Linked DNA regions of Rhinolophus ferrumequinum. The protein of the gene in region 1 interacts with the protein of each later gene in a biochemical or structural test. Links are inferred from orthologs where the notes say so. Each region holds a gene or a part of one and is shown on either strand. Other genes may lie near its edges.

Region 1 (3,743 bases):
TTGGAAACTACCTAAGAGTTCCAAAATAGGGGATTGGGCAAGTAAAGTATGGCATGTCTTTATAAAGTTGTGTGTTAATTTTAAAAATTGAGGCAGATCCAAAATGTAGAAATCAGCAAAAAAGGAAGATGTAGAAGCTTTTATAGCAAGCTACTGTTTGTGTAAAACATTTACACGTGTTTGTGAATATAGCAACCATCTCTGAAAGACCACAGAGGAAAGGGTGATGATCTCTGTGAGGGCAACTGGGGACTGGAAAGCAGGGTGGGAATAGGACTTACTTTTTAATTCTACACTCTTTGATATGTTTTTAACATTCAGTGTTCCTGTATCCCTATTTTTTTAATCCATCAAATTAACACAAAATAAAACACGTTTTAATGTTCAGAATCAAGTCCAACTTACTTCCATGGTCAGCTTTCCAACCTCCTCTCACACCACACTTGCCCTTCCTCACACTACCTTGCAGTCATATTGCTTCTCCTTCAGCTTCTGGAACATACCAAGATCTTCCTGCCTCCGGACATTTTACACAAGCTATTCCTTCTGCCTAGGTTGATACTCTCTAGGCTCTTCTGATAGGTGTGAATTTTCTTATACTTCAAGTCTTGGGTTCTATATCATCTCTTCAAAGAGGACATCCCTGGCCACCAAGTCTAAAGTAGCACCTCTCCCTTCACCACCTTTATGATAATACCCTTATTTACTTTCTTTATAGCACTAGTCGCTATTTGAAATTACCTTGTTTGTATATTTTCTTAGTTATTTACTGTCTCTCTCCATCTCAAGGGTTTAAGTCTCCATGGAAGCAGGGACCGAGTCTTGTCTTGTTCCCAACTCTATCTTCAGAAACCAAACAATAAGCATTTTATGAATGAATTTATGCAGCATATACTACAGACCACACACTGTTCTACAGACTTCACACATAACTCTTTTAATCTTTACAGTAACTCAATGAGGGAGATTGGTATTTACCCATTTTTACAGTTAAAGAAAGTGAGGCACGGAGCAATTGAGTAACTTGACCAACTGGCTTCTTAGTCACAACACGATGCTTTTTCGATATATAAGCGGACGGATGGGTGAAATTGACTAAATGAATGGAAATGTGAAATGTAAACGTTGATACAAATATATATACATATATATTTTTTGCGCCTCCGGATTCCCTAGCTCTACCGCAAGGAGGCGCTCTCTTCCAGGTCTTGACGCCAGTCCTCAAGGCGCGCACTTTTGCGTCTCGGGCTCGCGCGCGCTGCCGCGGCACCGGAAGTGACTGAGCTTGCAAGTTCCCCCGGTGTCTTCAGGGGAAACTGAGGCCGGCTCGTTCGGAAGAGACAGCGCGAGCAGTCCGCCAGGTAGGCCGGCCCGGGTCCGCGGCGCGGAACCCGGCCGCGAAGAGCCCTCGCGTCTGGAAGCGACCTGACCGACAAGGGGGGATGTGGCCCCCCACGGCTCGCGGGGCTTGCAGGTGAGAGTGCCGCCTCTTCTGTGCGTGGCAGGCGCTGCGCCCAATGGGAGCCCTCGCCGTCCCGTTTACTTACCGACTGGGCTCTCTGATTGGCTATGCTGGGGCGGGCCGCCGGGGGCGAGACCCCTCCTCCCAGAAAGGTCTAGGGGGCGCCCCTGAGGGAGAGCGGTTGCCTAGCAACGGGGCGGTGGCCCGGCGGGTACCCGGCCCTGAGCGCGGGAGAAGCCGCGAGGCCGCAGCCCACCCACCCCGGGCTCCGGAGAGCGGCAGCCTCCGGCCCCCAAGTCCTCCCGGGGGCACGAGGAAGCTGCCTCGGGCCTGGCCCCAGGAAAACGTGGTCTCGGCTGTGGGAGCCCTCGAGCAGGCCTCGACCCTTCTCCTGACCGGAGGAGAGGCCCGGCGCCTCACCCTCACCCCGTCTTTGTGCAGGGCGCCGGCGGCCATTGTGTCCGTGTGGGGAATGGAGGACCCGGCAATCCCCCACCGCCACCGCCGCGTCCAGGGCCTTTGGGGAATTCAAAGAATACCAGCGGCGTTTCTGAGGGGTCCCCGGCCTTCAGCCTCCCGGAAAGACCCGGGGATGGCTTTTCCGAAGTCAGACCGCAGATCCGAAGCAGTTTTCCCCTCCCTGCGTCCCTCATCGAAACCTTGAGCCCCATTGAGAAGTCCCTTCAGGGTTTCGGAAGCCTGGGCCGGTACTTAAATAGAAAAAAAAAAAAAAAACCAAAAAAACCTAAGCTCTCCACCAGCCACCTCTGGGAGAGTTCTCCTGGCTCCCAGTAGGAGGCGGAGGGAGAGCCAAGGAGCGTCTAGAGCGAGGGGGCTGGGCTCCCGGTGGCAGGAGGCCGCCCTCGTTCTGGGCGATGGAGGAAGAAGCCAGCGAGGCGGTGGGTTCGTGAGCTTCCTAATTCCTGTGTCGCCTTCTGGGCTCCCAGCCTGCCGGGTCGCATGATCCCTCCAGCCGGAGCTGTTTTTTTTGCCAGCCGCCGCGAGGCCGGCTGACTTACCGGCATCCCGGCTGCCACCTCCTCTTCCGACCTATATGATACAAAAGATATTCGGGGACTGCACCTGCCTGCCGTCGCCTGAGACAGATTTGAAAGTAGGTGGTGCGGGGGTGGGGATGGGATGCAGACTGCCCATGAGGGTGACTTTCCGAGGAAGACATTTCGGAGAAAAGGGGGTGGCTGGGGTAAAAAAAGGCCGGTGTAATGATTCAGAGCCCACTGGTGCTTTTAATTCGACTTCATTGAACTCCGGGAAGCTAGACCCAGACCTTCCTAAGAGCCACAAAGAAACCAGTTCTGGTACCTGGAGGTGCATTGGGATGTTGTAGGGTAAATGGTATGCATGTTAATTTTCTTTTTCCCTGAAGCTCTTTTTTTTCCTTTAGAACATTATCTTGGTTTTGGATCTCAGAAGACAACCACTAAGCAGAGACCAGACTCAGTGAGTGAGCAGGTGTTTTGGACAATGGACTGGTGGAGCCCATCCCTATTATAAAAATGTCTCAGAGCAACCGGGAGCTGGTAGTTGACTTTCTCTCCTACAAGCTTTCCCAGAAAGGATACAGCTGGAGTCAGTTTAGTGATGTGGAAGAGAACAGAACTGAGGCCCCAGAAGGGACTGCATCAGAGATGGAGACCCCCAGTGCCATCAATGGCAACCCATCCTGGCACCTGGCGGACAGTCCTGCGGTGAATGGAGCCACTGGCCACAGCAGCAGCTTGGATGCCCGGGAGGTGATCCCCATGGCAGCGGTGAAGCAAGCACTGAGGGAGGCAGGTGATGAGTTTGAACTGAGGTACCGACGGGCATTCAGCGACCTGACATCCCAGCTCCACATCACCCCAGGGACAGCATATCAGAGCTTTGAGCAGGTAGTGAATGAACTCTTCCGGGATGGGGTGAACTGGGGTCGCATTGTGGCCTTTTTCTCCTTCGGTGGGGCACTGTGCGTGGAAAGCGTAGACAAGGAGATGCAGGTATTGGTGAGTCGGATTGCAACTTGGATGGCCACTTACCTGAACGACCACCTAGAGCCTTGGATCCAGGAGAACGGCGGCTGGGTAAGGACCATGCCCCTTGTGTGTCCCCTTTTCTTGGCCTCTCGTCTGAGAGATCCCCAACAGCCTTTCCTCCTATCTCTTTCTGTTGTGCTGGGAGATTATTGGACGTGTTATTTAAGAAGACATGATTGGCCTCATTACACCACAAGAGGTTGATTGTTCTGAAATAGATGATCTCGTTCTTGAAGGACCAGGCATCT
Region 2 (3,743 bases), on another chromosome or scaffold:
GAGCAGGTACCAAGTTTTTGGCACCTGTATCTGGCACAATGTAGGTGCTCAATAAATGTTTGGGCCTAGCGCAGAGATTCCCTTACTGATGGTATATGATTTGCGGGACCCATTGCTCTCCTGGCAGCCCCAGCACTCTCTCTGGAGGCTGCCATAAACAGGATGTGTGTCAACTGCCCAAGCAGCGCCTGCATTCTTGATCTCTTCTCTCCTCAAACAGATGCCTATTTTGTGTTCACGCCCAGTCAAGAAGAGGACATGAGGGTTCCTTTGGATGAGTTTGATCTGAATGTCACTGAGTAACAGCACCGGACATACGTGTTCTCATGCTTCCTACAGATCTGGGGCTGGAGTTTTCTCCAGACCCGCTCCGCAAGCGGGAGGGTGCTTTGCTACCTTGCCGGGATCCGCAGGGACCCGCACTTGCAACCACTGGACATTGCCAGTCGCGTTTAAAAGCTCCCGCTCTCCTCCTCCCCTCCCTTTAGGGACGCGCAGTATTTATTCAGCCTATTCCCGAGAAAGAGAAGACAAGTCACTTTGGCGCCTCCTTGTTCGCTCCTAATGGAGAGGGCTGTGCTTCCCTAGCCTGCATTAGGAACCGAGTCTGCGAGGGCAACGGCGCACCAATTGCGTTTCTGGCGGGGGTCAGAATTTTGCTCGGCCCCTTGCAATGTTTCCAAGGGGAGGTTCGTAGATTCGTGACTGTCCCTGGCAGTCGCCCAGCCCGGGACTTGGGGCTCCACTCATCATTGGCCAGCGGTAGGCGTGACGCGCCGGAGGCGGGGCCTCATCAGCTGTTTGCGGGATGCCCCGAGCGGGCGTATTTTGGAAACAATACCGCGCGGTGCGGAGTGGCCTCCTCCCGGGCGCGCCCGGCCGCTGCCGCTGCGTCCCCTGCTCGCTCCTCCCGCCTCCCACTTCTCGCCGCAGCCGGGTGAGCGCCCGGGCGGCCGGGAGCCGGGCGGAGTTGGATCGCACCTCCTCGGGGAAGTGGGGAGAGGAGTCGCGCTGCGCGTGGGGGCCCGGGAAGGGTTGGGCTGCAGGCGTGTGGGGTGACCATGAAGTACTGGGGCGCTGGGCTGCGGGAACGGGGTGAAGAACCCACATCTAGGTGCGCTGCTCCACCAGGCAACTTAGGGGTAGTAGCATTTGAGAGTCCGAGGAGTTGGGTCCAGGTGGGCAGGGGAACCTGCAGTGCACTGCTGAGCCGACCTAGGCGCCCGAGATCGGCCGGGCCTCTGGATCTTACTTTGGGGTAGGGCAGGGAGTCGTGGGGCATCCTGCCTCCCTGCGGAGTTTGAAGGCTCCTCTCCTTAACAGCTGGGCTTTTTCCCTCCTTCCCAATTGAGTCTGGGCGCCAAGCCCCCGAGTGCTCGTCACGCTGGACCCTGGCGCGGAGCCCTGGCATCACGACTCGGAGGCCGAGACTCTCTCCTGGAGTCACCCAGGTCGGCGGTGTGTTGTGTGAGTGCGTGAGTGTGTGTGTGTGTGTGTGTGTGTGTGTGTGTGTGAGAGAGAGAGAGAGAGAGAGAGAGAGAGAGAGAGAGAGAGAGAGAGAGACCAGATTTTAGCCCTTGTCGAAGTTCAGAGTATCTGGCTACTGCCTTCTCCGAGGAGGAGTCTAAGTTCAGCATCCCTGTTAAGAGTCCTTAGGGGCTGGGATGGCTCCGGCGAGCTTTAGTCCCCCTTGCTAGCAATATAGCCTACCCTGGCCGTGCTCTCAGCAAGTGTTCCCCTCCTACCAGTTTGGACATCACCCCTTTTGCTCAGGTCAGTTTACACTTGACCTTGCCCAGCACCCCACTGGAAGCGCCCACCTGCAGTTCCTGTGGAGAGTGGGACGGGTCCCCGTCCGCCCCCCCCACCCCCTCCCGCCGTGGCAGAGCCACACCCTCTGGCTGCACCTCCCCCACCGTCCAGTCCAGGCTTGGGGTTGAACTTTGGGGCTTTGCTGGGAGGGGGATGGGGAGGTGACGGGCTTCAAAGGAAGAACCAAGACAATGACTCCTGCTTGTGATTGGCTTTGGAGGGTCCCTTCTTACGTTGGGATCGCCAGCTTGCTGAGAGGAGGTTGAAGGGCTGGAGGGGAGCCCCTGCCAGTGACTGGCAGGACAGCCTTTCCTTTAAGCGGGAAACTTTGTTTCCTGGTGCTGATAAGCTGGAGTTCTCCCACCCCACGCCTCCTTTGGGAAACACTATTGAAAGAACACCAGGTGCCTGTTTTGCCATCCAAGTAGGCATCTCCTCACTCTCCAGGGATGAGGGCAGAGATAGGACCATAGATAGTTCCAGGAATAGATGGGATGGAGGGGGTTGAAACAAGCACCTCAGAGACAGCTTGCATTTAGGAAAGCCAGGATTTCTGAATTTAACCGGGATTTCTTTAAGTACTTTACCAACCCACAGACCCTTTGGCTTGCTCTTCAAAGGCAAGAGACTGGGAGACAGAATTCCCAGGGAATCTAATAGAATCTGGCAGTGACAAACATTGTCTCTCTGTATCCTTAACCTATTCAGGTGGTTGTTGCTTCTGGCTGCCCCAGGGGCCTTGAGGGGTTCCTAGTGTATGTGTGTAGGGGTCTGGGTTCGGATCTCAAGATGCTGGATGGCTCCAAGCTCAGACTTCCAAGAGCCAACAAGTGGAGCAAGAACTTCTTTATTACCAAGAAACTCATCAACAACCTGTATAGCCAGTGAGTGAGGTCACGGAGAAAGGGCTGAATTTCACTTCCTTCTGTGAGGCAGGTTGTACCAATCCCAGGTTCAGCACTGGCAGGAATGGTAGGCTGGCTATGGTGAAGGATTTAAAGTCACGGAGACTAGTGAATAGACTGAGCTGGGGGAGGCTGGTCACTTTGCTGAATGCTGGACCTACCCTCTTGGCCAAGCTGTGGTGGGTAGACAGCTCTATCTGAGAGGGCAGCTGCAATGACTAATTTGGGTCTTTCTCCCTTCTCTCTCCCAGGACACCCTTACCACACCAAGGAGTCTGTTTGTTGTGTTGAGCAAGCAGGGGGTGGAGACTAGAGTAGATGGGCAGGTGGGCGGGACTTAGCAGGTTTGGAGGGAACCTGGCTGCCCTATGATTGCTGGCTGGCTTTTGTTTTTACTGCTGAGCCTGGAGCTCAGCTCAGACTTGGTGGTTACTCCCCAGGGCAGTGGTGGGGGGGGGGGGGGAGAGGGAGGGAGAGAAAGGAGAGAGAGAGAGAAAGAGAGAGAGAGAGTTAGTTAGTTGTGAGTATTTTGTGTACAGCCAGTCACAGCACCCTTCTGCCCTCCCACAGCCACTCAGAGAGGCTAGCCTTGTTAACATTTCCCCAGGTACCCTGTATGCATGAAGCAAACTTCATGACTGACCAGCTGGGTCAGAAGAAGAGGCCGAGGGGAGGGTAGCTGTGAGTGGGCCCAGGAAAGTGGTGCTGCAAGTCCCTGACTGAACAGTGAGGCAGTCCAGATTTGGGGATGGATGTCACCCTTGGCTGTGCTTTACCACCAGGGTCATCTGTCACTAGTACCTGCCCCCACTTCCCCAGATAAGAAGGGAGACCAGGGAAGAAGGTGGGGGAGGCCCAGGGTTGGCCTGGGTGGGGACAGCATCCTGGATGCCTTATTATGCCCTAACAGGGGAGATGGAGCCGCCTCAGTGTGTGGAAGAGCTGGAGGATGATGTGTTTCAGCCAGAGGATGGGGATCTGGGGACCCAGCCTGGGAGCTTGCCCTCTGCTGACCTGTTTGCTCAG
Region 3 (3,743 bases), on another chromosome or scaffold:
AAGAAGGGTGTGTCTCCATTTTACTTTCTATCCAACCCCCGGGATCGCCCCGCTTTGCTTTCTCCCGCCCCCTTAACCTACCACCCATGGATTCCATGAACCCTCCTTAGGTCTCCTTCTTTGTAAGGTATAAAATAAGCTGCAAAACTGCCATTTTCTGAAGCATGTTCTTAACCCGTTGAGATTTTGCTTCCCAGCAAGTGTCAGTCAGTTTGGCTCAGACAAACTCATTAAATTTCTCTACAGGTTTGGACGTTTCTTACCAGGACACAGGGCAAGGCCGCGACTGAGCAGCGACGTGAGGTGACCTGGTGGGCGCCCGATGGGGGCGGACTCCTACCGCAGAGGACACCCCCCCAGGGCACCGTCTCCGCGCCGCTTGGAGCGGCTTGCCGGCTGACTGACGTCACGTGTGACGTGTCACGTCAGACCGAAGAAGCAGCTCTGGTCACTGGAAATGCAGTGACGGAAGGGCCGGCCGAAGCCAGACGGAGAGGCTGTGGGAAGGCACCTCCGGGCAACGGAGGAATCTGAGCCCTATGAGCACGTGTTCTCCCCGCGGCTCCCGCGCGGCCGTCGCGGGGCCGGATGTGACGTGGCAGCGCCGGACGCGCGCCGAGGACAACCCGGGTCGTGCACTGGCCACTCTCCACTTCCGTGAGGATGGGAATTCCTTCAAAGTCAAAATTAGGAGGAAGGAAATCATCCTCCAACTCTGGTGACCTGAAAGAGGAACTATAACCAGTTTCACCAGTTTACGGACCAAGGAAAAAAAACAAAAAAAAATGAGACACTCCGCCCCTCCTGCACCACGAATCCCGTCCCAATGTCGCCTCCTGCCTATGAGGAGGCGCACCTCACACAGGACCCGCCCCCAGCGCTAGAGTCCCGCCCACAACCTCACCCCGGCCTATCCCGCGCCTCTAGCTCACGAAACCGCCCTCCCACTCCCCCGCCCAGGTGAGCCTACTCCGACCCGGGCCTTTCCCGCGCCGCCAACTCCGCCCCCGGTATCTCCCCTGGCCTATCCCGCGCCGGACAGCCCGCCAGCCCCGCCCCCACACTCGCCCTCGGCCTATTCCGCGCCGCGCACGAGCCCCGTCCCCGCCCTGCGCGGGGGATGGCGCGCGGCTGTGACGTCACCGGCGAGGCGCGGGGCGGACGCTAAGCTCCCCCGGCCCGCGGCGATGCCCAAGCGGGGCTGCCCCTTCGGGGACGCGGCCCCGCTACAACTCAAGGTTCGAGTGGGCTGGAGGGAGCTAGGCCGCGGCATGTGCGCCGAGCGCTACTCGCAGGAGATCTTCGGTGAGTGCGGGGTAGGGCTTCCTCTCTGCGACGCGGGGCCTGGGCAGGTCTCCGCAGGCCGCGCCCCCAGGAGCTGGGAGGTCTGGGACCACCCGGGAGCTGGGGTTTGGAGCGGTGCGGGAGGGGCGAACGCGTCCGTGTCCACCTGCGCTGGCCACAACCCGCAAGAAGTGCCCCTCCCTCTCCAAACGAGCGGCCTCTGCGTGGGGCCGCTCCCGGGCTTGGATTTGCGGGGATGCCGAACTCGCGTCGTAGCTGTAATAACTAGCCCTTGTCTGACTAGCGCTAGGGCGCCTCAGGCGCAGCGAGAGGTCAGGGAGTGGGACGTCCTGGGTGGAGTAAGCCCGCAGAAGTACCCGGTCTAATCGAGAGGTATTTGAGGAGCGCGCCCTCCCTACCAGGCACTGCGGCTGCGCGTGTGACGCGGCCTTCCGGGAGCTCCCGGGTCTAGTGGGAGCCCAGCAGGAGAAGGAATGTCCAGAGACGATCCGGCTGGCCCAGGTCGCTGCAGGACCCGCTGCAAGGGTGTCAGAGGTCCGGTGGAGGAACAGCGCCTAAGCGGAATTCTGCAGGGTGACCAGGAGTTAGGCCGGCAAAGAGGGAGAGGAGGATTCGAGGCAGGTGGAACAGAATGTGCAAAAGCCGGGAAGCAGAACAGTGGAGTAGGATTCGTGTGGCTGGAGTATCCACCTCCCGGTGAGAGGTGAGGGCAGTGAGCCACTGGAGTCCTCCTTACCTGGCTCTCGTACAGATTTTTAGGTGCGCTGATATTAGTGATCCCCAATGTGGGGTGGTTGATACTCTGGGACAGCTGTAAGGTAAAGCTTACCTTGCTGAGAGGTCGGGGGCACAGGCACAAGGTTTGCACCCGCAGAGCAGTTAGAAAGTGACCTGGGTGTTTGTAATTAAGTGGTGCTGCTGTGTGTTAGGGGCGTGGGGAAGAGCCCAGCCTCGGGAGACCCCAGTTTTCTGCGTCTTCCCCCCACCCCAACTGCCACCATCCTCACCCACTCTGCCTTTCTTTCCTTGCTCACTCGGGTTGCAAACGCAAATGCTTTCCAAGGCCGTGCAGGTGATGAAAATGAGTGAAGCCATGGGGCCTGTGGCTGAACTGCATATGTATTCCGTCAGGACATTCAAAAACATAAACACGACCAGCAGCAAGGACTAAAAGTGGGGACCAAGGCAGTCTGGCTCTTTACCCTCTCCCTTGAGCGCCCGTCGTGGAGCGATTGCAGGGCCCCATGACTTGCAGGTTTTCCAAGGAGAGGGGCTGGGCGCCCTGGGCATTCCATAGTAAGGGCAGGACGCCCAGTTGGAACTGCTGTGTAGCAAATTCCAAGCTCAAGGCTATGACACTGACCACAAGACCTTGAAGATAAACATTAGCCTCACCATGTGACACCCCTTCCCCCCCCATTTCCATCCCATTGTGAGTTGGGGAGGGCACAGGAGAGCCCAAAGGAGGAGGAGCTGGTGGCTGGGCTGTCATTAGCCACTCCATTTGAATTACCTAGTAACTGTTCCTGTCAATTTCACAGAGCCACCAGCTTCCAGGATCCCCACCCTGGCTCTGTTGGGACAAGACAGAAACAACAAACAAAGCACTTCTGGGGCTGGCAATGGGCATTTGATCCTGTGAAAGTCCCCAGGTGACTGACATGTGGCCCGAAGGAAAGCCACTGCTGTGGGTGCTGAGCTGCCAGTTCAGCTCTGTGGGCGGGTTGTCCAGAGCCTACAGAGGTCTGGAAAGTTCAGGAGCCAGTTGATGCCGTGTCTTGCCAGCAGCTGTGCAATGGGTGAAGGAGGCGCACACTGGCTGGGTTTGGAGGCCCAGCTCTGAGCCTCTGCCTGTGAACCCGTGCTTTATAGCTCAGAGCTCCTCTGCTGGACACAGCTGGCTGGTGGGGCACGGGACGAGGGGAGCAGTCATGAGGTGAGGCCATGCGTTGAGAGCGCTGTATGGAAAATGAGCAGAGTGACCGGAGAGGGCGCCCGAGTGGGGCTGCAGAGCCCCAGACCTTCCTGTAGGAAGTAGCAGCTGAGCCTGGTTCAGGATGGGTGGGAGGCAGTGTGGGTGCAGTTCCCCAGGGAGCGGCGTGGGCAGGGGTGACCAGAGGACAGCACAGAGGGGCCCCACACACCCGGCGTGGAGGATGAGATGGCTGTGTGAGGGCTTCTGTGCCAAAAGGCCTAACCGGAGGGGTGCTCTGTCTCCCCAGAGAAGACCAGGCAGCTGCTTTTTCGCGGGGCCCAGGCCTACATGGACCACATGTGGGAGGAAGGCTGCGCCATCGTTGACCTGCCAGAGTCCCCGAAGCCCGGCCCCACAGAGGCCCCACGGGCCACATCTGGACAGATGCTGATCGGACCGGACGGCCGGCTGACCAGGAGGCGAGCCCCGGCCTGCGAAGCCGGTGAGTGAGGCACTTCCCCCA

Evidence for each region.
Region 2: the proteins of BCL2L1 (region 1) and BMF interact in a test that uses a peptide from one of them, tested with the Homo sapiens proteins (2 studies listed by BioGRID). The link is inferred for Rhinolophus ferrumequinum from reciprocal best matches to the Homo sapiens genes BCL2L1 and BMF.
Region 3: the proteins of BCL2L1 (region 1) and SIVA1 form a complex in vitro, tested with the Homo sapiens proteins (2 studies listed by BioGRID and IntAct). The link is inferred for Rhinolophus ferrumequinum from reciprocal best matches to the Homo sapiens genes BCL2L1 and SIVA1.

Annotation. Positions count from the first base shown.
Region 1 is NC_046306.1:22,759,581-22,763,323, forward strand, and holds the start of BCL2L1 (bcl-2-like protein 1), read left to right. Parts: upstream 1-1,180; 5' UTR 1,181-1,474; intron 1,475-2,281; exon of another isoform or gene 2,282-2,576; intron 2,577-2,867; 5' UTR 2,868-2,979; coding exon 2,980-3,543; intron 3,544-3,743. UniProt on the Homo sapiens protein: Potent inhibitor of cell death. Inhibits activation of caspases. Appears to regulate cell death by blocking the voltage-dependent anion channel (VDAC) by binding to it and preventing the release of the caspase activator, CYC1, from the mitochondrial membrane.
Region 2 is NC_046289.1:64,884,223-64,887,965, forward strand, and holds the start of BMF (bcl-2-modifying factor), read left to right. Parts: upstream 1-1,532; 5' UTR 1,533-2,569; coding exon 2,570-2,696; intron 2,697-3,366; exon of another isoform or gene 3,367-3,605; coding exon of another isoform or gene 3,606-3,627; coding exon 3,628-3,743. UniProt on the Homo sapiens protein: May play a role in apoptosis. Isoform 1 seems to be the main initiator.
Region 3 is NC_046289.1:859,961-863,703, reverse strand, and holds the start of SIVA1 (apoptosis regulatory protein Siva), read left to right. Parts: upstream 1-1,103; 5' UTR 1,104-1,187; coding exon 1,188-1,305; intron 1,306-3,527; coding exon 3,528-3,722; intron 3,723-3,743. UniProt on the Homo sapiens protein: Induces CD27-mediated apoptosis. Inhibits BCL2L1 isoform Bcl-x(L) anti-apoptotic activity. Inhibits activation of NF-kappa-B and promotes T-cell receptor-mediated apoptosis.